Stegostoma tigrinum: one gene and its partners. The protein of the gene in region 3 interacts with the protein of the main gene of each other region in a biochemical or structural test. Links are inferred from orthologs where the notes say so. Each region holds a gene or a part of one and is shown on either strand. Other genes may lie near its edges.

The links.
Region 1: the proteins of bmpr2b (region 3) and gdf5 form a complex in vitro, tested with the Homo sapiens proteins (2 studies listed by BioGRID and IntAct, with this or other methods). The link is inferred for Stegostoma tigrinum from reciprocal best matches to the Homo sapiens genes BMPR2 and GDF5.
Region 2: the proteins of bmpr2b (region 3) and bmp4 form a complex in vitro, tested with the Homo sapiens proteins (2 studies listed by BioGRID). The link is inferred for Stegostoma tigrinum from reciprocal best matches to the Homo sapiens genes BMPR2 and BMP4.

What each region holds. Positions count from the first base shown.
Region 1 is NC_081372.1:8,448,544-8,455,679, reverse strand, and holds the start of gdf5 (growth/differentiation factor 5), read left to right. Parts: upstream 1-4,112; 5' UTR 4,113-4,175; intron 4,176-7,136. UniProt on the Homo sapiens protein: Growth factor involved in bone and cartilage formation. During cartilage development regulates differentiation of chondrogenic tissue through two pathways.
Region 2 is NC_081363.1:47,120,718-47,128,677, reverse strand, and holds the start of bmp4 (bone morphogenetic protein 4), read left to right. Parts: upstream 1-4,860; 5' UTR 4,861-5,089; intron 5,090-7,960.
Region 3 is NC_081360.1:7,394,604-7,402,024, reverse strand, and holds the start of bmpr2b (bone morphogenetic protein receptor type-2), read right to left. Parts: upstream 3,090-7,421; 5' UTR 1,470-3,089; coding exon 1,406-1,469; intron 1-1,405. UniProt on the Homo sapiens protein: On ligand binding, forms a receptor complex consisting of two type II and two type I transmembrane serine/threonine kinases.

The DNA of each region.
Region 1 (7,136 bases), on a different chromosome or scaffold from region 3:
TGTTGAAGATAAGTGGCATTCAAGAATACAAAGCTAAATAAAGATGGAGAGGTGGTAGTGTTAATTAAGACTTGCATTGGTGTAATTATCAGAGAGGACCTTATTTCAGGAAGTCAGGATATAGAATCAGTTCAGTTGGAGATGAGGGATATTGCGGAAAAGAGTCACGAGTCGGAGTGGCCCAGGTCTCTTCACAATGATCATGATGTAATATACAAGAAGGAACACTGTGTTCTTGTGATGCAGTTTCACTGAGAATCACAGGAGGTTTTAATATACATAATACACCAGAAAAAAATCAGTGTGGCCATCTGGGATTTACAGGTTGCTTTTGGAGAATTGAACCACATTTGCAATGGATCACCGTGGATCTTAACAGGCGATAGTAGTGTGCAGTGTCAGCAGGCTGGTAACCAAGCCCTCAAGCCTGCAGAGACATGTGTGCAACCAACCAAGCGATAGTAAGAATTGCCAATGCTAGACTCAGAGATAACACAGAGTGGAGCTGATGAACACAGCAGCCCAGGCAGCATCAGAGGAGCAGGAAAGCTAACGTTTTGGGTCAGAACTCTTTTTGAAGCTGAAGAAGGGTCCTGACCCAAAATGTCAACTTTCCTGCTCCTGTGAAGTTGCCTGGCCTGCTGTGTTCATACAGCTCTACACTGTGCAATTAACTAAGCCTCATTAGCTGTGAGACCTGTGATCAAATTTTACTGACCCTTGCTTTGACAATTAACAATTCATATCACTCAGTAGTAATTGGGTGCTGGTCATCACTTGCTCAACTGATTGACTGGCTCACAACTTCAACTAAAATTTCATTTTGACTTGAGTGCTTTCTGTTTTCTCAATTGCCAGCACTATGCTTATACCTTGGCTACATTCTGGTTCTAGAAAAGGTCTTTAACCAGTGAGAGCACAACAAAAACAGTCTGAACTTGAGTTCGGGGTGTCCCCAGACAGCAGCAACGGACAATGCCCTCAGTATCCTTGTCAATCCTGACAGGAGATCTAAATAAGAAAAACAAACTGGAACAGGACACTGCCACCTACACACTCCACATTCAGGCCCCATTCCAGAGGCTTGAGTACAGAATCTAGCTGAAACTTTAATGTGGTACTGAGGGCATGCTGTACGTTTGGCTGGTGTAGCTTAATGCTACACCAAACTCATAACTAAGGCATCAGTTGTAAAAAATAGGTCAGCATTGGCCAAAGAAGTGATGGGGAGTTCTTCCTGGTGCCCTGACCAATATTTAATCCTCCAACAGTTTCGCAGAAACAGAAAATCAGGTCATCATCATAGAGTAATACAGCATGGAAACAGACCCTTCGGTCCAAACACTCCAAGGCTGTCAGTAATTCCAAACCAAACTAGCCCCAGCTGCCTGTGCCTGGCCCATATCCCTCCAAACATTTCTTATTCATGCAATTGTAACTCAAACCCCTCATTCCCATCAGCATCCTGGTAAATCTCTTCTGAACCCTCTCCAGTTTATTAATGTCCTTCCCACAAGTGGGCAGCCAGAACTGGACACAATATTCCAGAAGAGGCCTCACCAACATCCTGTACAACCTGAACGTGACATCCCATCTCCTGTACTCAAATGTCTGAACGATGAATGCAAGTGTGCTAAATTTCTTCTTAACCATCCTGTCTGTATGCAAAGCAAAGTTCAAAGAATTATGTACCTGAGCCCCCAAGGTCTCTGTTCTACACAACGCTCTACTTTTAGTTGTATAAGCCCTGTCCTTGTTTGTCTCACCAAAATGCAAAACCTTACATTTATCCAAATTAAACTCCACCTGCCACTCCATAACCCGCCGACCCAATTGATCAAGATCTCTTTGTACTCGTAGATAACGCTCTTCCCTGTCTACTGAACCCCCAATTTTGGTGTCATCCACAAATTTAATGAGTATGCCTCCTTACATTCTGATCTAAATCATTTATATAAATGATTACTTGATTGTCTGTGGGAGCCTTCTGTGAGCAAATTGGCTGCTGTGTTTTCTACATTATGTTACGCTACCGTGAAATAATCTATTAGCCGTAACGACGTCTGAGATGTTCAGAGGCTCGGAAAAGTGCTATTGAAATGCAAACCCTTTTCTTTCTGTAGAATAGACTGTTAGACAGAGAGAGGGTGTATGATGATCTGGGATAAAATGTTCAACAGAAGGTCTAAGGGTGACATTAAACGTTATACAAGCAAATATCTGCAGATGCTGGAAATTTGAAAGTAAAATATCAAATGCAGAAACATTTGGCAGCAATCTGGCAGCAATGGTGGAGAGAGAAGCAAGAATAATGTGACAGGCTGGGTGTATTTAAATGGTCATTGGATAAACATATGGATGATAATGGGATAGTGTAGGTTAGATGGGCTTCAGATTGGTTTCACAGGGCGGCACAACATTGAGGGCCGAAGGGCCTGTGCTGCACCGTAATGTTCTATGTTCCATATCTACTGGAGTTGAGAAGAATGAGAAATGATCTAATTGAAAACATATAAGGCCCTGAGGGGACTTGACAGGGTGAATACTGAGAGGATCAGAAACAGAAACAAAAAAATTCTGGGGAAACTCAGCAAGTCAGGAGCATCCATGGGCAGAAATCAGAGTTAATGTTTCAGGTCCATTTCCTCAGAATGGTTCTGTTTTTCTGCTTTCTCTCTACAGATGCTGCCAGACCAGCTTGGTTTTCCCAACCATTTCTGTTACTGATTTCCAGCATCTGCAGTTCTTTTGCTGTTTTTGTTTGATATTGAGAGGAGGATTCCCCCTTGTGATGTAGACTAGAACCAAGGACCCTCCAAGTTAAGAGGGAGATGAGGAGGAATTTGTTACCTCAGAGTCATCAGTCTTTGGAACTCTTCCACAGAGGTAGTTAAAGGGAGTGATTGAATATTTTTAAAGAAAGATTTAGATAAATTCTTGATATTAAGGGATTCTAAGGATGTGGGAGTAGGAGTTAAGGGTGGGGGTGAAGTCAGTTGGAAGAGAAATCAGTGTCAATGTCACAAACAGAATAACCATGATTCTATCAAATGCAAGAGTAGGCTTGAGGGGCTGAATGGTCTCCTCTGAATTTGTATATTGCTATACAAAGTAACCATAGGCCCAGAGGGCTTCTTATTAGAGAGAGAGAAGGAGAGGTCTGGTGCTCATTTAATCTGAGGGTCACCATGTGTCAGGGTGAGGGAGGAGGTGGAGAAGGAGAGTCCTTCATGGTAACCTCAAGCTCTGTAGGAATTGAACCCATGCTTTTGTTTCTATTGCAAATCAGCCTTCCAACTAACTGAGCTCAGCCGCAGGTCTGCAACCTTACACCAGAATTGAGAAATCGTAAGAATCACCAAATCATAAAAGATCAAGGTCCATGTTGTTCACAGTCTGCCTTCCTGGTGTGCACAGATTGCATGTTAGTGGTCTAATTGGAAAGAGTACAGAAGACGTTTACAAGAATTGTTCCAGAGATGAGAGACTCAGTGATGACGAAAGTTTGGATGGGTTGGGGCTGTTTCCCTCGGAGAGTTGAAACTGAGTTGCCAAAATAGGGGTGATGCAGTGGCTCAATGGTTAACACTGCTGCTTCACAGCACCAGGGACCCGGGTTCAATCCCACACTTGGGTGACTCTCTGTGTGAAGTTTGCCTGTTCTCCCCTCGTCAGCATGGATTTCCACCCAAAATCCAAAGATATACAGGGTAGATGGCTTGGCCATGGGAAATGCAGAGTAACAGGGAGGGGTAGGTCTGGGTGGGATGCTCATTTGAGGCTTGGTGAAGACACGATGGGCCAAATAGCCTGCTTCCACGCATTATATTCTATGATTCTAATGATGCTCATTTGGAGAACTAGTGGATGGGCTGTGTAGCCCCCTTGTGCACCATAGCATATCAGTGAATCTGTGACCCACAAACCTGTGATGGGGATGTGAGAGGGTGAATGTTACCAACTGAGCCTGGTTAGCACTGACTGCTGAGTCACTGGGGTGCGAGCACTAACTATTCACACTCGTCGATCAAACTTATCTTGCAAATAAACAAAATAATTCATTTGAATATGATGTAGTGGCAACTCACTTTATACACAAATACTAACACGCACAGTCTCAGGCCACTCACATACAGGAGGTCACTGCATTGAGACTTGACTATATTCTATCCCAGGTAAGAAAGAGGTTAATAATTGAATGCTTCAAACAGTAATTTCTATGATACACAAGGGAAATATTTAGCTCATCCCGAAATTCCAGCTTATTTGCTTGAAATGTTCCAGCAACCTTTAATTGTGTAAACGTGTTTTCCAATAAATGACTCAGATTGTGCTCCATCAGGTGAGAGCAGGGTAGGGTTTGGATATTCAGAGTAGTAGTGGTTAACTTTTTGTTTCAGCTTCTACCTGTCAGCAGTGTGCTAGACTTCCACAAGAGTTTCTTTTTCTAAATCCAAAAGTGAATTTCCGCTTTTTTAGTTTGATTCTTTGCTTTTTTCCCCCCTTTGTGTGTGTGTGTGTGTGTGTGTGTGTGTGTGTGTGTGTGTGTGTGTGTCTGTGTGTGTCTGTGTGTGTGTGTGTGTGTGTGTGTGTGTGTGTGTGTGTCTGACAGAGTGAAGTTTCACCACCTCAACATTTCTCAGGGTGACATTTTGAACTGAAAGGAAAAGTTCTGATAGGTCATGCTGCAAATACATTACAAAAGTTCAGTAAATGTTTCTGAAAGTTGCAGCAAAGCAAGTTGAGAGAGATGGGGGAGGATTGAGGCACAGAATAAGAGGGAGGAAGTGAGGCAGAGATAGGCATAGACAGAGAGAAGTTGGGGCATGCAGGAGAGGGGAAATGAGAAAGGGGGTGAGGGGGAGAGTGAGAACAGAGGGGTGAGGGTGAGAGTGGGAATGGCGATAAAGTGGAGGGGAGCTGGAGGAGGGAAAGGAGAGAGGGTAGAGGAGAAGGGGAGGAGAGACGGGGCATGAGTAAGTAGTGCAAAAGACAGAAGGGATGGGTGGGAGAAAATGGAATTGGTGAGAGTGAAAGGGATGGAGAAGGCAGAGTGTGGTGGAGATGGGAAAGATGGAGTTTAATTTAGATAAATGTGAGGTATTGCATTTGGTAAGACAAACTGGCAGGACTTACACAGTTAATGGCAGGGCAGTGTAGAGTGTTGTCAAACTGAGGGACCTAGAGGTGCAGGTCCATAGTTCCTTAAAAGTGGCATCACCAGGGAAACAGGGTGGTGAAGAACATATTTAGCACGCTTGTCTTCATTGGTCACAACATTTGACTGTCATTGGGACATCATGTTACAGCTGTACATGACATTGGTAAGGCCACATTTGGAGTACTGTGTACAATTAGATCACCCTGCTATTGGAAGGATGTTATTAAGCTGGAAAGAGTATGAAAAGATTTACAAGGATGTTACTGAGACTTGGAGGGTTTGAGTTATAAGGAAAGGATCGACAGTCTGGGACCTTTCTCCCTGGAACATAGGCAGCTGAAGTGCAACCTTATAGAGGTATATAAAATCATGACGGGCATAGATAAGGTGAATAGTCAAAGTCTTTTTCCCAGGGTAGGGGAGTCCAAAACTAGAGGGCACAGGTTTAAGGAGAGCGGGGAAAGATTTCAAAGGGACTTGAGGGGCAATCTTGTCACGCTGAGGCTGGTGTGTGCATGGACTGAACTGCCAGAGGAAGTGGTGGAGGTTGGTACAATTATAACATTTAGTAAACATTTGGACAGGTATATGAAAGATAATAAAATGTGAGGCTGGATGAACACAGCAGGCCAAGCAGCATCTCAGGAGCTCAAAAGCTGACGTTTCGGGCCTAGACCCTTCATCAGAGAGGGGGATGGGGAGAGGGAACTGGAATAAATAGGGAGAGAGGGGGAGGCGGACCGAAGATGGAGAGTAAAGAAGATAGGTGGGGAGGTAGGGAGGGGATAGGTCAGTCCAGGGAAGACGGACAGGTCAAGGAGGTGGGATGAGGTTAGTAGGTAGCTGGGGGTGCGGCTTGGGGTGGGAGGAAGGGATGGGTGAGAGGAAGAACCGGTTAGGGAGGCAGAGACAGGTTGGACTGGTTTTGGGATGCAGTGGGTGGGGGGGAAGAGCTGGGCTGGTTGTGTGGTGCAGTCGGGGGAGAGGACGAACTAGGCTGGTTTAGGGATGCAGTAGGGGAAGGGGAGATTTTGAAACTGGTGAAGTCCACATTGATACCATATGGCTGCAGGGTTCCCAGGCGGAATATGAGTTGCTGTTCCTGCAACCTTCGGGTGGCATCATTGTGGCAGTGCAGGAGGCCCATGATGGACATGTCATCTAGAGAATGGGAGGGGGAGTGGAAATGGTTTGCGACTGGGAGGTGCAGTTGTTTGTTGCGAACTGAGCGGAGGTGTTCTGCAAAGCTGTCCCCAAGCCTCAGCTTGGTTTCCCCAATGTAGAGGAAGCCGCACTGGGTACAGTGGATGCAGTATACCACATTGGCAGATGTGCAGGTGAACCTCTGCTTAATGTGGAATGTCATCTTGGGGCCTGGGATAGGGGTGAGGGAGGAGGTGTGGGGACAAGTGTAGCATTTCCTGCGGTTGCAGGGGAAGGTGCCGGGTGTGGTGGGGTTGGAGGGCAGTGTGGAGCGAACAAGGGAGTCACGGAGAGAGTGGTCTCTCCGGAAAGCAGACAAGGGAGGGGATGGAAAAATGTCTTGGGTGGTGGGGTCGGATTGTAAATGGCGGAAGTGTCGGAGGATGATGCGTTGTATCCGGAGGTTGGTAGGGTGGTGTGTGAGAACGAGGGGGATCCTCTTAGGGCGGCTGTGGCGGGGGCGGGGTGTGAGGGATGTGTTGCGGGAAATACGGGAGACGCGATCAAGGGCGTTCTCGATAACTGTGGGGGGAAAGTTGCGGTCCTTAAAGAACTTGGACATCTGGGATGTGCGGGAGTGGAATGTCTTATCGTGGGAGCAGATGCAGCGGAGGCGGAGGAATTGGGAATAGGGGATGGAATTTTTGCAGGAGGGTGGGTGGGAGGAGGTGTATTCTAGGTAGCTGTGGGAGTCGGTGTGCTTGAAATGGACATCAGTTACAAGCTGGTTGCCTGAGATGGAGACTGAGAGGTCCAGGAAGGTGAGGGATGT
Region 2 (7,960 bases), on a different chromosome or scaffold from region 3:
GAATTTAAAAATGTAAAGATCAAGATCTTTAGTTCATGGCAAACTCCACACCCACAGGTATCGAAAAGAGTCCTCAGCAGCTTGTTCTATTCTTTCGTAATTGTATGCACTACTATATCATCCTATAATTTGTGCTGCTCTAATGTAAATGATACAGTTATTCAGGTCTGTATTCACAGTTGTATTTGCTCATACCAGAAATAACCCTAGGGAATCTGAGTTTCACCCCCTAAAACTTTAATATTGTTTATATAGTGTGGAGTGTGCAATACTACCCACAATTCTGAATGTTTTATATAACTTTTCATTACCACATAGTATTTCAATTTTAAAATTTAATTTAAATATACCGCATGATCAAATCTATAATTCTCTTTGCCTTTTAAATTCCTTATTAATCTTGTTTATTTCTTTTAATAAACTGTAAGCTTATTGCCCAAATACTTCACTTCTTCCAGAACACTGAGCATACTGGATACAGTCACTGTTGATTTTAAAACAAAATGTATCACTTCACACATTGATGTTGAATTGCACTTACCATCATGTCTGCATGTAGCAATTTTCACATTTTGTATCTGAAGTCTAAATTAGGTTTTTGATTCCACATAACATGCATAAGCTTCTTATGGTATAAGCTGTGGTATCTCTACCCCCGGACTGGGAGGCCCCAGATCAGGTCCTCTCTGCTCCAGATGTGCGTAATAGCATCTCTGAACAGGTTGATTAGAAAAAGAGACTACGTTTAAAACAAAAAACATGCACAAAGTACTACTCGTGTCTAAAGGTTGTCTGAAAGTGTTTCACAGCCAATGAATTACTTTGATTGTGTTCACAGTTACATCAGCAAACACAGTAGTCAATTTGTACAAAATCAACAATACAAAAAGAGGAATTCGTCTATTATGGTGGGGTTGGTTAACGCATAAATTTTGGTCAGGACATCAGGCGAACCCTTTGGTAATAGTTTAAAATAGTGTATTGATCTGAAAAGGTAGACATCTGAAAGATGAAAAGCTCTGACAATGCTGCCCTCCCTCAGCATAATGCTGAAGTGCCTGCCTATTTAATTTGTTTAAATTCATGCATTGGGAATTGAGCCTGTGAGCTTCTCCTACAGTTAAGGCTGCTGCCATTTGGTTAAACTAGTCTAATAATCTGTTTTTAACAGTCTCTAATTTTGAATTACTTTTTCATTGAGTACTTTTACTGCGGCTAATAATTGCCCCTTCACTAATAGCAAGCTAAATGAACTTGTACAGAATATTAAAGTGTTTAACTGTAAAAGGTCAGATATTATCCTTTGAAATATATGATATAGGAAGACCAAAACCGAATTCCAAAGTGAGATTAATTGAAATTAAATGTGTTTACCTCGTGATGTATTTGTGCTAATATTAGCAATTTGGCTTAATATTAATTAATTGAAATTGAGAGCAAAGCAGACCGTTATTTAGCATACCACAAGTCTTGGACAAGAGGTTGACAGTAATGGAAATTTTAAGCCGCACATCATTTTCTTTATTTATCTCACTTGTCTATCCTAACACTTCCTAAACTCACTTTATTCCTCTGGCAATAATCTAAAGCTTCCTCCCTGTGTAGCTATTCACCACATCAGCTCCCCAGTGAGTCTACCTTTGTCTTTATCCTCCAACTCTGCTCATCAATTGAATGTCTAAACATGCTTCCACTTTACAACAGCCTGCAGAATATTTGCTCATTTGTGAACAAGACTCCCTGTTCATATCCTTATCCTGGAGGAGTAAATTAACATTCTGGGCTTGACTGAAATCTGGCACACTGCTGTTGATTTTTTCCTTTCATTCGAGAAAAACTCTCTTGGTTCACATTTCATAACATCCCATACTTAGAGGTGTTGTGAAATTTCACCTAGGACTATTGCACATTTCTCTGGCTCCTTCAAAATGTCTCAAAACCAAACGTTTTACCTCTCCTTTGCTATTTACTTCCTCTAGAAAAAAGCAATCTTCTCTCACCCCTGAGCTCATTCAAATTCTCATCTATTCTTAAAATCTACTATTAGTGATAACATTGACTTTTCTATTGACTTTCTCCACAGCTGTCTCACTTATAATCCTGACAACTTCATGTTGGACGGGTCTCTATAGCCACTTCTTGTAAAGTAAATTTTAGAAACTGCAAATTTGAAATGTTACTTAGCGTGCATTAGGAGATCATATTGATGGGATAGGGTGACTTTGTGCAGCATTTTCATCAATTTTTTATGTTAATATTTTGCTGAAAGTAAAGGCCATGTATTTAATAGCACTGGCGATTAGGCCAGCCTACACTCCCATTTGGATAATCCCTGTTTTTCAACATTTGTTGCCTTAGGAGTTTCTGCTAGCATTGAGCAATTGATGTGAACAAGTGGCAAATTTGCTCTGAAAATAAGGCTAGAATTTTAATTTCATTGTGGAGTAATTGTTGACATAAGGGGTAAAAAGTAGTATGTGTTGACTCAGCAATTTGCTGTACACTGCACTACCCTGCAGTTTTTATTTTGAATTATTGTTGAAAATCAATTTAGAGAAAAGCAGTCTTCAATGACATGGTTATATTTGTCAGGACACTAAACACAGCTTTCTCTATGTCTCTGTTTACAATGTGATGAATTGCTGGCATGGTAGGACAATGAATATGACATGTACAAAGGAAAAATATACATACAATATACAATCCGTCATTCTTTGTATGGAAAGGTCTGAATTTATTTAAGAGAAAAAAATAGAAGACCAGAAATGGCCAAGTTTAGTTGAGGTCGAAGGTCCCCAGGATGTTACTGAATAGTTGAGCAGGTTTAAGGAGCTATTTATCCAACTTGCGCTGAGACACCCAGATGGCATCATGATGAAGGAGCATCAGACATTATAACAGATGGAGGCTGCTAGGAGAAGGTTACCTCCCCACTTTCATAGCTGAGGAATGACTTTTACCAAAAGAATAAAAAGCATAAATAATTTACTGAAGCTATCCACTGACTTTCTCTATGCTACTTCTGCAAGATTCTTCTGTTCTTCTGAGTCTGGAACTCTGTGTCCCTTTTCCTGTCAATTCATTCTCATAGCTCTACACTCCTGCAATTCTCTTGCTAAATCCCTCCAATATCATTAAACATCTCCTCAATGTTAGAAGCCTACTCAAAATCTAGCTAGTTAATATGCACTTTGTTACCTTACCTGATGGTCTTCTCACTCAGCACTGACTGCCCTGCGTGACTATTTTAAATCCTCCATCTAAGTATAAATTGTCACTGTAAATACAAGTATTTGGTATATTTAACCGTTTCATGTATTCAGCTCAATTACTGAACTTGCTCAGCTTCCTGATGAAAGTCCTGATGAAAGATTCTGTGCATGTTGTCACTGTTCCCACATTCCAAGGCATAAGGCAAATCCAACTCTATAGTGACATCATTTATCATTGATTAGTTGATTTCAATTCCATCATTTCAGTATCTGAAGAATGATCATGCTGTGCACAATATTTTATCACAGCTATTGATAAATCCTTATGTTAATTCAACCCCTAACTCCATACCTATATAGCTATTTTGCAAAGATGTCAACATAGCAATAATTGTTTTAGCATTGCACTTACTTTCCTAATCTACGTCTAATCTTCAGTTTTACATGCAAGTTCTGTTGTCTCAAATTTGCCACCAGCAGCCTAATTCAAATTATCTTCCTGGTACATACACCTATCACCATTTTGAACAGGATCCCACTGATTCCATTGTTATCCAAACTAAACAAAGTCATTTCCAAGTGTCCAAATAAATTGAGAAAGTATTACTCACTTGGAAGTCTAGGTCCTGGTTTCCAAACAGCTGCTCTGTAATAAACCCTCTCAAGGCTGCAGTGTAAAGGCATCGTTATTTTCGTAAGAAAGTGTCAAAAATTGCATTTATTCTCAGCGTTTGAATAATGACGTAAAACAGTTTGCAGAACATTAGCCACAAATGCTGAAGGTTCTGCCTCGATAAATGTGAAGTTCGTTTACCAAGCATTAAGGTTAAAACATTGTGTCCCTCAAAATTTTACCTTCTCGTCATGGTTTCCTCTCCTAGCTTTCCACGCATTTCTCTTTTCCTTTGGTGGCAAGAACTGACAACACCGTCTCCCTCAAGAATGACTGCGTAAACGTGGCCTAGATTTTAAAGTGAGGATGTTGGTGGAAAATTGACACCTATTTGTCTCTGCTTTGTAGGTATTTTTAATCGCACCTTAAACTGAACTCGTGTAGATATTGTGCATATTGTGGAGACAATCCTTCCAATGCAGCCTTTCCAACGTCCTACTAATCAGGGCACTTCGAAACATTGACTTTCGTCTCGTCTAAAAGCTTTTAACCTTTCGTTAGTTATTCGCTGCTAGCTGGTACTGACCAAAACTAACTTTAAAACATCGTCGTCGTGCTCTGGTTCTATACCCCACCCAACACTACGAATTAACTTTGTAACTGCATTTTCTGCTATTCCTTTTTCTTTCAAACCTATTTTCCCTTGCTCACAGGAAATTTCTGTCGCTCCGGAAGAACTCGAATACAGATATGCGTATTCTGAATAAAATGCAATGCTTCCCAAGCCACCAGTTAACGTGCTGTGCACAACAAAGTTAAGAGAAACGCCACGGGGCTAGTTTAAAGAAAACCGTGAGAGAGGAAAATGCTACTTATTATGTATATACGGTGTTCACGCGCCGTATCGCCTTCGATATGCTGCTATTAGCCACTTCTGCAGGAAGGAAGTGGAATATCATAGAGATCGCATAAGTGAGGCTTTATGAACTCGGGTTAAAATACCACAATGACGTACGTACTTTCCAACAAATTGCAGAAACTGGGCGGCCACTTTATTAGTCGGATTAATTGATAGTTCCAGTTTGGTTTCTTAAAATGGGTCGAATATGAGGGGTTGTTCAAGCGCGTCCATCTCTGGCACCTCAATCCAATCCGTTTTAGATAAATTGAATTTATTGGTTCAAAAATTCTGTCAAGTTCTACCTACAGATGCAGAGGCATTAGATACAATTATTGTGGAGTATACGGACGCGATACTTGCATGGTGAGTCATTTTTAACTCGTGCTGCTATATGTGGTAAACCTGAGATTGCTGTATTGTGCAAATGGGAAAATTACTCAATAAAAATCGGCAATAGTTATTTCACCTACACATTGGCTTCTTATACGTGTAATCTCACGTGCTCCAGTTACCAAAACTCGAGGGCGCTAATGTCAGCCCGGAGTTTCAAAATTCACTTTATAATGAACATATCCACTGGATGTATTTATCGAAATTGGCGGTATTTTGAACATTGACTGACTTATTTTCCTGTGTATAATATTTAGCTGGTTTCATTCCTTGAAAGTTCATTGCCAGTATCGAGTTAGATTTAACTGCCAATGCTAATTTATGAATAATAGTTTTGGAGAAAGACAACTTGTGTTAAAATCGTGTGTAAAACACTCGCAACGTACGTGTTTTGATTCTCTTTGTATTGAAATCGTTGCTTCGATTTTGATTAAATCAGCCGGGAGAGTGATTGAAGATTAACGAGTACGTAAGACAAAACGGATGAGTGCGGTTCAGGCCAGTTGCATTTTTATGCTGAGGTGAGATGCCTGTTTTCTCACTGTAAACCTCGGCAAACCAATTTTCACACTCTATCTGGAAGTTCAAAAGAATTACCCGACATTTAGTGATCTGTGTGAAATGTTTGTGTAATTTGCAGTGCATCGTTAATGCATTTTAGAAACATTTTCATGACGCTTTTAGTGAAAATTGGTGATGGGGTCGTTTAGTACTTATTTGGGAGTTTGTGTTTTGCTGTGAAGTTGTAGGAATGCTGTTGTGTGCGATTTAATATCGTGCATGATTGTGGGGTCTCGACACGACGATACCGGAGTTCCTAGTTTTAATATCCCATTAAATAACTTACAACCGTTTCCTTATGGGAGGTTGACGGCAATATTTGTACACGAAAATTGCCAGTGATATTTCTGTGCAGTGAAACACCGACATAAAAATGGTGTCGCCAGTTTCATGGGTGTTATGGTTGATTAAAAAAATGCGACCATAGTGATATCAATTCTGTCGCATCGATTAGCCGTTTGTTATACAGACTGAAAATGCACACGATCCTTCACTGAATGTGGCCCTGTGTAATGCACAGTGCTTCTATAACAATGCTACTTTTCAGGTGAGTGTTTCTTAGCATTTTCCGTGTTTATTATAGCATTCCCGTGGGTTCATTCTGGCGGAATGTGAAAATCGCATGCCCGGCTGAAGCACCGCAAGGCCATGTGTTAAGTTCCCTTTCATATTCGGCGCGATGCCGAATTCGGCCACTGCAGCCTGAGGCTACGAGCCCTGCAGTGATTGACAGGTGCTCAGCCTCCTCGCCCAGCGGTTTGAATGGGGTCCATGCACTGGCTCGCAGCTTGTGGGCGCTGAAAGGGCGGGGCTTGCCTGGTGATTGACAATGGAGGAGGAGCCCGGGCGACGGCTGGTGGTGGGGGCGTGGCCTAGTACTGTGATTGACAATGCGAGTGTGGGCCGGTAGGGTAACTGACAGTGTAAGAGTATGCCCAGGGGTGTTGACTGGGAACGAGGGGGCCTGTGGAGTCATTAACACTAAAGAAATGGGCCTGTAGGGTGATTGATGGTGAAAGTGTAGGTCTACAAAGGGGATAGACAGTAAAAGTAGGCTAATGGGTGATTGACAGTGGAGCAGCAGGCCTATAGATTAATTGATTGATGGTGAGGCGGTGGGCATCTCTGCTCTCTGATGAAGGGTCTCGGCCCAAAACGTCAGCGTTTGTGCTCCTGAGATGCTGCTTGGCCTGCTGTGTTCATCCAGCTTCACACTTTATCAGTGGGCATGTAGGGTTGTTGACGGTGAAAAAGTGTGACTATGAAGTCATGAAGTGCTTTGAGAGGCTGGTCATGACCCACATCAACTCCAATCTCCTGACCTGCCTTGATTCTCTGTAGTTTGGCTACTGACATAACAGGCCCACAGAGGATGACATATCCCTAGCCCTGCACTCATCTTTGTTGTCTAAATGTGCCAGGGATATCTATGGCAAACTCTTTCTTGTGGACTATAGCTCCACCTTCAACACCATTATCCCCTCCAGATTTATTTCAAAACTTAGTGATCTTGATCTCGGTTCTGCCCTCTGTAACTGGATCCTCAGTTTTCTGAACCACAGGCCGCAATCAATGAGGATAGCTAACTGAACCTCCTCCTCAATAACACTCAACACTGGAGCCCCCGAAAGGATGCGTCCTCAGCCCCCGACTGTACAGCCTGTACATCTATGACTGTGTTGCCAAATCCTGAAAGAATGCCATCTACAAGTTTGCTGACATCACCATACTAGGATGGATAGCTAACAACGATTATTCAAAATACAGAAGGGAGATAAAAGGCTTGGTGATGTGCTGCAATGAAAACAATCTGTCTCTCAATGTCAGCAAAACTAAAGGTCCAATCATTAATGTCAGAAAGAAAGGAGGAGAATACGTCTCCATCTACATCAAGGGAACTGAGGTCCAGAGAGAGTGAAGAGCATTAAATTCCTCAGTGATGATAACGGACAACCTGTCCTGGACTTTCCACATAAGTGTGACAGTCAAAGAGGCAGAATAACGACTCCTTCCTCAGGTGGCTCGAAATTTGGCATGGCCACAACATCCCTCACCAACGTCTACAGGTGCACCATTGAAAGCATAATGTCTAGGTACATAACAGCCTGTTATGGCAACTGCTCTGCCCAGGACTGTAAGAAACCACAGAAGGTCGTGTGCAAAGCCCAGAACATCACAGAAGCCAATATTCCATCCATGGACTGTGGAAAGGCAGCCATCATCATCATCATCAAAGACCCATCACACCCTGGTCATGACCTCCTACAGCCTCTTCCATCAGGC
Region 3 (7,421 bases):
ATCGCATTAGTCTACTTTCGATCATCGTTAAAGTGACAGAGAGTGTCATCAACAGTACCATCAAGCAGCACCTGCTTAGCAATAATCTGCTTGGGAGATGCTCAGTTTGGATTCTACCAAAGACACTCAGCTCCTGACCTCATTACACTTCGGTTACTGAATTCCAGGAACGAGGCAAGAGTAACATCCCTTTATATCAAAGCCACATTCAATTGAGTATGGCATCAAGGAGACCTAGGAACATTAGGAAATCAGGGGGAAAAATTTCCCCTGGTTGAAGTCATCTTTGACACATAGGAAGATGGTGTGGTTGCTGAAGGTATGTCATCTCAGTTCCAGGACATGTCTGCAGATGTTCCTTAGCATCTGTTCTAAGCACCATATCTTTAGCTGTTTCATCAACAACCATCTCTCTATCATAAAGTCAGAACTGGGATGTTTGTTTGATGGTTTCACAATTTTCGTGACTTGTCAGATACCAAAGCACTCCTGATCAAATGCAATAAGTTATGGATAGTATCCACACATGGCCTGACAAGTAAAATTCTTCAAAGTTCTTTTTTCAACTTTCCTTACGATACTTGTTGACTATCAGTCTCATGCCAGTGTTTGGCCTTAGATGGAGTTTACCATCCACTTTGGGCTGCATTCACAAGCAACCTGACTCTGAGAAGATACCATCCCAACCACCAGCCTCGTGCTGTCCCCGGGTCTGTCTCAGTCCATATTCACTAGATGACCCTGTTGTGCTACAAAAGATGTTACGATATCTGGGGTCCCCTGGAAGGGTCGCTGGACCTGAATCATTAACTGATTTTTCTATACAGATGCTGCCAGACCTGCTGAGCTTTTTCCAGCAATCTCTTTTTTTGTTTCAGATTTTATATTACCGTATCTACTTGACCATGAGATTTACAGACTCGTGTACACCTTGACGACTGCGCAAAAAGCTTGTAAAATGCAGTATAGATTACACAGTATAGAACTGGAAGATCACAATAGGCCAGGCAGCATCAGAGGAGCAGGAAAGTTGACGTTGCAGGTCGGGACCGTTCTTCAGAAATCCTGTGATTTTCTCTTATGGAGGAAGAAATCCTAGACCATTGTTTAAACGACCCCTCCACTCTTACTGTCCACTCTCCCCTTCACACTTCTGTCCCTTACCCTCTCCTCCCTTTCATCCTGTCCTTCTCGACTCACTTCCCTCTTGATCCCCTCTCCTCTCTTCCCTCGGCCCCAACACCCACACACATACTTCTCCCACTCTCCCCCCACCCCCACACATTCAGTGATTCAAGCGACACCGAGCTTGGCGCAGTCTCTTTAAATGTTCCTCCAACCTTTCCCCACCACCACACCTTTGGCCCGCGTTCGACTCCCGGGAACATACTTCCCAGTCACTTACAGGCTACGACGTTCACCCAGGCGGCGTGAATCCCGACGAACAGCAGGCATAAGGAGGCGGCCATGTCCGACCCGGAGTTGCGGGGGTGGGGTGGTTGGGGGGTGTTGTAGGGCAAAGCGAAGCAGTGTACAACAATGAGGAGGGGGAATGCGGCTCGGCCCAGTTCAGCCCCGGCTGTTAGTGACAGCACAGCCGCGCCACGCCGACAGCTCACGACGGTTTCATACCCTCGCGGAGGCCGCGATTTGAAAATCCGCTGGCCCAGCTCGCGCTCACAACCACCCGATGGTCCGGTAAAATTCAGCTCCTCGCCTCCTGCCCTACTCGGTCTGGACTCCTCAACCCGCTCCGGTTAGACACACACAGAAATAGAATTATTACTTCCTTCCTTTTAATTCCTCGGCTGTTGCTGTTCTTTTGTCTTTATAAAAAAATTCCAGCGGAAAAGAAAAGCCGCGGGCGTCCAGACGAACCGCGGATGGGTGGGATTGATGAAATATATTCCTATTTTTGTTCAACTAATGTTCTCCTCGCGATCACGGAACAAAATGTTCAGGATCATCTGCGTAGATATAAAAATTCCCGCTTGTTCGATCGCTGTTGATGATAAAACTTCGATCATATGTTGGTTGAGGGGGCAAGGTTGGGGGATTCACTTGCTGTAATGGGAACGAAAAAACCCTACGACTCCTTCCCTTGACCACGATGATTTTTCTTCTCCTCTTGACGGAATAATTGTTTCACTCTTTTTGTCTATATTTCCTCGCAGACTTGTCGCCTGAAATTTTTCCTCTTCAGTACGTGGGTATTTTTATCTCTCCCTCCCCCCTCTCGAGTGAAACGAGATCGATCAAATTTACTTTTAATCTTCTCGAAATAATTTACTCCTTCCAAGCGCAGGTTTTCGGCCGATGGCGTGTGATTTCGTGTGTGTGTGTTTTCCTTCTCAAACCGTCTTTGGGAGCTGCATCGCAAACTCTTCGTTTTGTCGGGCGTTGATTTTAGATTTCCCTCTTTCGCCTGGCTCCCGTTCAATTTATTTCTCTATTTCTTTTTCATCCTGCGGCTGTGGTTTTTTAAAAAAATCTAAAATTTCCACTACCGAAGGTTCATTCCCCTCAGGCGGGTCATCATGACTTCCTTCCTTCCCTCTCTCTCTCTCTCCCCCCCCCCCCCCCCCGCTTGTCTTCCGATGTGAGGGGATTTGGTTTGTGGGTGGAGGGCCAAGTGTTTGGACTACTCAAACCAGCCACTCTCTCAGGATGAGGGGGGCCGGAGGCACTGCCAACTTCCGAAAGAATCTCCCTTACGCACCCCCACCCCCTAAGCCGTTTTGCTTTATTTCTGCTAGATTATATTGAAGTTGTCTTCCCCTCCGCCACCCACACCCCTCGCTTTCTTCTCCCTGTGCAAACTCCAAAAGACCGCAAGAGGTTTCGGTGGGAGACTGCCGAAAAACGCTTCCTTTTCTATACCCCGCCAAGTCGGTTCCCGAGATCTTTTCCACTCCGGCCTCTTATGTCCGTGTCTTGCGTGCCTGTATTTTGTTCAATGAAGATGGTGGAGAACCACTGAGGCTGAGCTGGTCGCGAATAGGGAACGACAGCCGAAACCAGACACAGATATACACACAAGAGACGGGATACGCCCGCCAGACACGCCACGGTCACACACCAAGCCTGAGGCTGTGTCTGAATCCGAACAGCTCCCTCTATAGTGCTCTGCGTTTAAAGGGGCAACGCAAATTAACTTCCAAAGGTCTGAAGTAGGAAGGGACAAATTAGGAACTCTGGTTTCCCTCATAAAGGAGGAGTGCAGCTCCCATTCCATCCGCGCTTTTAATGTGCCAGCCAGGCCTCAAGACCTCCCCGAGGCACCAAGAACAAATGAACATTGAGCTAACAAAGATAAATAAGCAGTGACTGCAAACTTAATGGAAATAATGGAATTCAAAACAGTGACGTCAACGGGGAGAGAGAGGTGAAGGAGTCTGGGGTTAATATGCCTGGATCTTACGCCTAGGTGGCTGAAGGAGTCAAATTTAATATTAGTTTGAGAGGGAACTCATAAGCAGCCAGATTCATATCTAGCTCTCACAAGTCCATTCTTTCGTTAACAATAACCCAACCGTTATTTGTACGCCAGCATTCTTTACAAAACAACACAGTCCTACCTGAAGCAACTTTTCCATTGAATTCTATCTTTAGGGATTTTGTTAACCACGACAATGATGCTCCTATCAGCTACTTCCTAAATCAGCTTGACCTAGAAAACCGTACTAACTATATTTGCCATAATCAAGATATAGTAGGAACTGCAGATGCTGGAGAATCTGAGATAACAAGGTGTAGAGCTGGATGAACACAGCAAGCCAAGCAGCTTCACAGGAGCAGGAAGGCTAACGTTTCAGGCCCAGACCCTTCTTCAGAAATGGGGAAAAGGAAGGGGTTTCTGAAATAAATAGGGAGAGAGGAGGAGACGGATCGAAGATGGAAAGAGGAGAAGATAGGTGGAGAGGAGACAGATGGGTCAACGAGGGAGGAATGAAGCCAGTAAAGGTGAGTATAGGTGGGGAGTTAGGGAGGAGATAGGTCAGTCCAGGAAGGACAAACAGGTTAAGGGATGAGGTTAGTAGGTAGGAGATGGGGTTGGGGCTTGAGGTAGGAGGAGGGGATAGGTGGGAGGACGGACAGGGTAGGGAAGCGGGGACGAGCTGGGCTGGTTTTGGGGTGTGGTGGGGGGGACATTTTGAAACTTGTGAAGTCCACATTGATACCGTTGGGCTGCAAGGTTCCCACGCAGAATATAAGTTGCCGTTCCTGCAACCTTTGGGTGGCATCATTGTGACACTGCAGGAGGCCCAGGATGGACATGTTGTCTGAGGAATGGGATGGGGATTTGAAATGGTTCGCGACAGGGAGGTGCAGTTGTTAGTGCAAACCGAGAGTAGGTGTTCTTCAAGGTGGTCCACAAGCCTCCGCTTGGTTTCTGCAATGTAGAGGAGGCCAGTGTGGGAACAGCAGATGCAGTATACCACATTAGCAGATGTGCAGGTGAACATCTGCTTGATGTGGAAAGTCTTCTTGGGGGTGAGAGGGGAGGTGTAGGGGCAGATGTAGCACTTCCTGCGGTTGCAGGGAAAAGTGCCGGGTGTGGTGGGGCTGCAGGAGAGTGTGGAGGGGACAAGGGAGTCACAGAGAGAGTGGTCCCTCCGGAAGGCAGATAAGGGTGGGGAGGGAAAAATGTCTTTTGTGGTGGAGTCAGATTGCAGGTGGCAGAAGTGTCAGAGGATGATGCATTGGATCTGGAGGTCGGTGGAATGGTACGTGAGGATGAGGGGGATTCTGTTTTGGTTGTTATTGCGGGGATGGGGTCTGAGGGATGTGGACGTTCTCGACCATTGAAGGGGGAAAGTTGGGGTCCTTTAAAAATGAGGACATCTGAGATGTACGGGAATGGCATGTCTCAGCCTGGGAGCAGATGCAGTGGAGGCGAAGGAATTGGGAAATTCTATATGCTTCTATTTCAAACCATAAATGTGTAGTCCCTTTCATTGCCTATTCCACCAGCCTATGCCAGATCATGTACCCTTATTTCTGCCATCTCCAATATAATCCAACATATTTTCCCCTCTCCTGTCCACTTTTACATAGAACATAGAACATTACAGCACAGTACAGGCCCTTCGGCCCTCGATGTTGTGCCGACCTGTCATACCGATCTCAAGCCCATCTAACCTACACTACTCCATGTACATCCACGTGCTTATCCAATGACGACTTAAATGTACCTAAAGTTGGCGAATCTACTACCGTTGCAGGCAAAGCGTTCCATTCCCTTACTACTCTCTGAGTAAAGAAATCACCTCTGACATCTGTCCTATATCTTTCACCCCTCAATTTAAAGCTATGCCCCCACATGCTCGCCGTCACCATCCTAGGAAAAAGGCTCTCCCTGTCTAACCCTCTGATTATTTTATATGTTTCAATTAAGTCACCTCTCAACCTTCTTCTCTCTAATGAAAACAGCCTCAAGTCCCTCACCCTTTCCTTGTAAGACCTTCCCTCCAGACCAGGCAACATCCTTCTTAACAGCCCTGTCAACCTGGGTGGCAATTTTCAAGGATCTGTGTACATGGACACCGAGATCTCTCTGCTCATCTACATTACCAAGAATCTTACCATTAGCCCTGTACTTTGCCTTCCGGTTACTCCTACCAAAGTGCATCACCTCACACTTGTCTGCATTAAACTCCATTTGCCACCTCTCAGCCCAGCTCTGCAGCTTATCTATGTCTCTCTGCAACCTACAGCATCCTTCGTCACTATCCACAACTCCACCGACCTTAGTGTTGTCTGCAAATTTACTAACCCATCCTTCTACGCCCTCATCCAGGTCATTTATAAAAATGACAAACAGCAGTGGACACAACACCGACCCTTGCGGTACACCACTAGTAACTGGTCTCCAGGATGAACATTTCCCATCAACTACCTCCCTCTGTCTTCTTTCAGCAAGCCAATTTCCGATCCAAACTGCTATATCTCCCACAATTCCATTCCTCCGCATTTTGTACAATAGCCTACTGTGGGGAACCTTATCGAACGTCTTGCTGAAATCCATATACACCACATCAATTTTTGTGAAGCATTTCTCTTTGTGATATCTTAGCACCCTTACATCCAACTCCCTTGCTCTGAGAAAATTCCTTGAAGCATAGGCACTGCTATCCAGGGCCCCAAACACTGCTTTCAAATAAGAGTGCAATTTGCATATACATTCCCCAACCTAGTATGCTGATTTCACTGAGAACTGCCGATGCTGGAGTCAGAGATAAAACAATGTGGAGCTGGAGGAACACAGCAGGCCAGACAGCATCAGAGGAGCAGGAAAGCTGATGTTTCGGGTTGGGAACCTTCTTCAGAAGAAGGATCCCAACCCGAAACATCAGCTTTCCTAATGATTTCACTGACCTCGTTTAGTTTCATGTACATTAGGCAGAACCAAGCACCAATGAGGGACCATTTCATGGTACATTACAGGTTTGTTCCCTGCATCTTTGTGGCTTGTTATTGCAAATTCTTCATTCAAATTCAACTCTGGCTTCCCTACCTTTGGCCTTCCACACATTTCTAATGAACTTAACAGGAAACATAGGGAACAGCATTTTCTGTTGCTGTTCAGTATTTTACAGTTCTGTGTTCTTAAAATTAAATTGAAATATTATTTCAATTACTGAACCATTATGAGTTTTTTTTGATTTTGGTGATTAACTGCCACCAGTAAATCACCAGTGTAACCTCTGAATATCCACCTATCTAATGCATTCATAATTTTGTAGATCTCAATCAGGTTGCCCCTCAGTCTCTGTCTTTCCAGTGAATACAATCTACATTTATCCAATCTCTCCTCGTACCCAAATCCAGGCAACATCCTGGTAAACCTTCTCTGCATCTTTTCAAAAGCATCCACATCCTTCTGATAGTGTAGCAACGGTGAAGTCTCCTGAATAGTGTTGAGACAATTTAGTTTGTTTATTACAGTAAAAATCTTGTCATGTGACAAATCTTTCATTCAGTTACCAGAAATACAAGTAACTCATTACAAGTAATTGGTCACCACAGGAATCAGAATGGCATGAGACAAAGATGACATGAGGGAAAACAATTTACTCAATGAGTTGTTATAATCTGAAATGCACTACCTGAGTGTTATGAAAATAGAATTGATTATAGTTTTCAAAGCGGTATTGTATAAATATCTGGAAGGGAAGAAATTGTAGCGCACACTCATGATGTGCTTCTCACCCAGTATCACCCTTTCTGGTCACCCTCAATGATGTACTGATGTGAATGCATCTGTGCTGGTGGAAGATGGCTTGCTGTAACAGTGCTGGTTCGTGGCTTCCATCTTCTCCGAGGATTTCAGTGATATTGTTGCTTCACTGGGATTTTTCCCTTCCACAAATGACTGTCTGAAAGACCATGAGAAAGAGATCATAAGGATTCACGTCTGA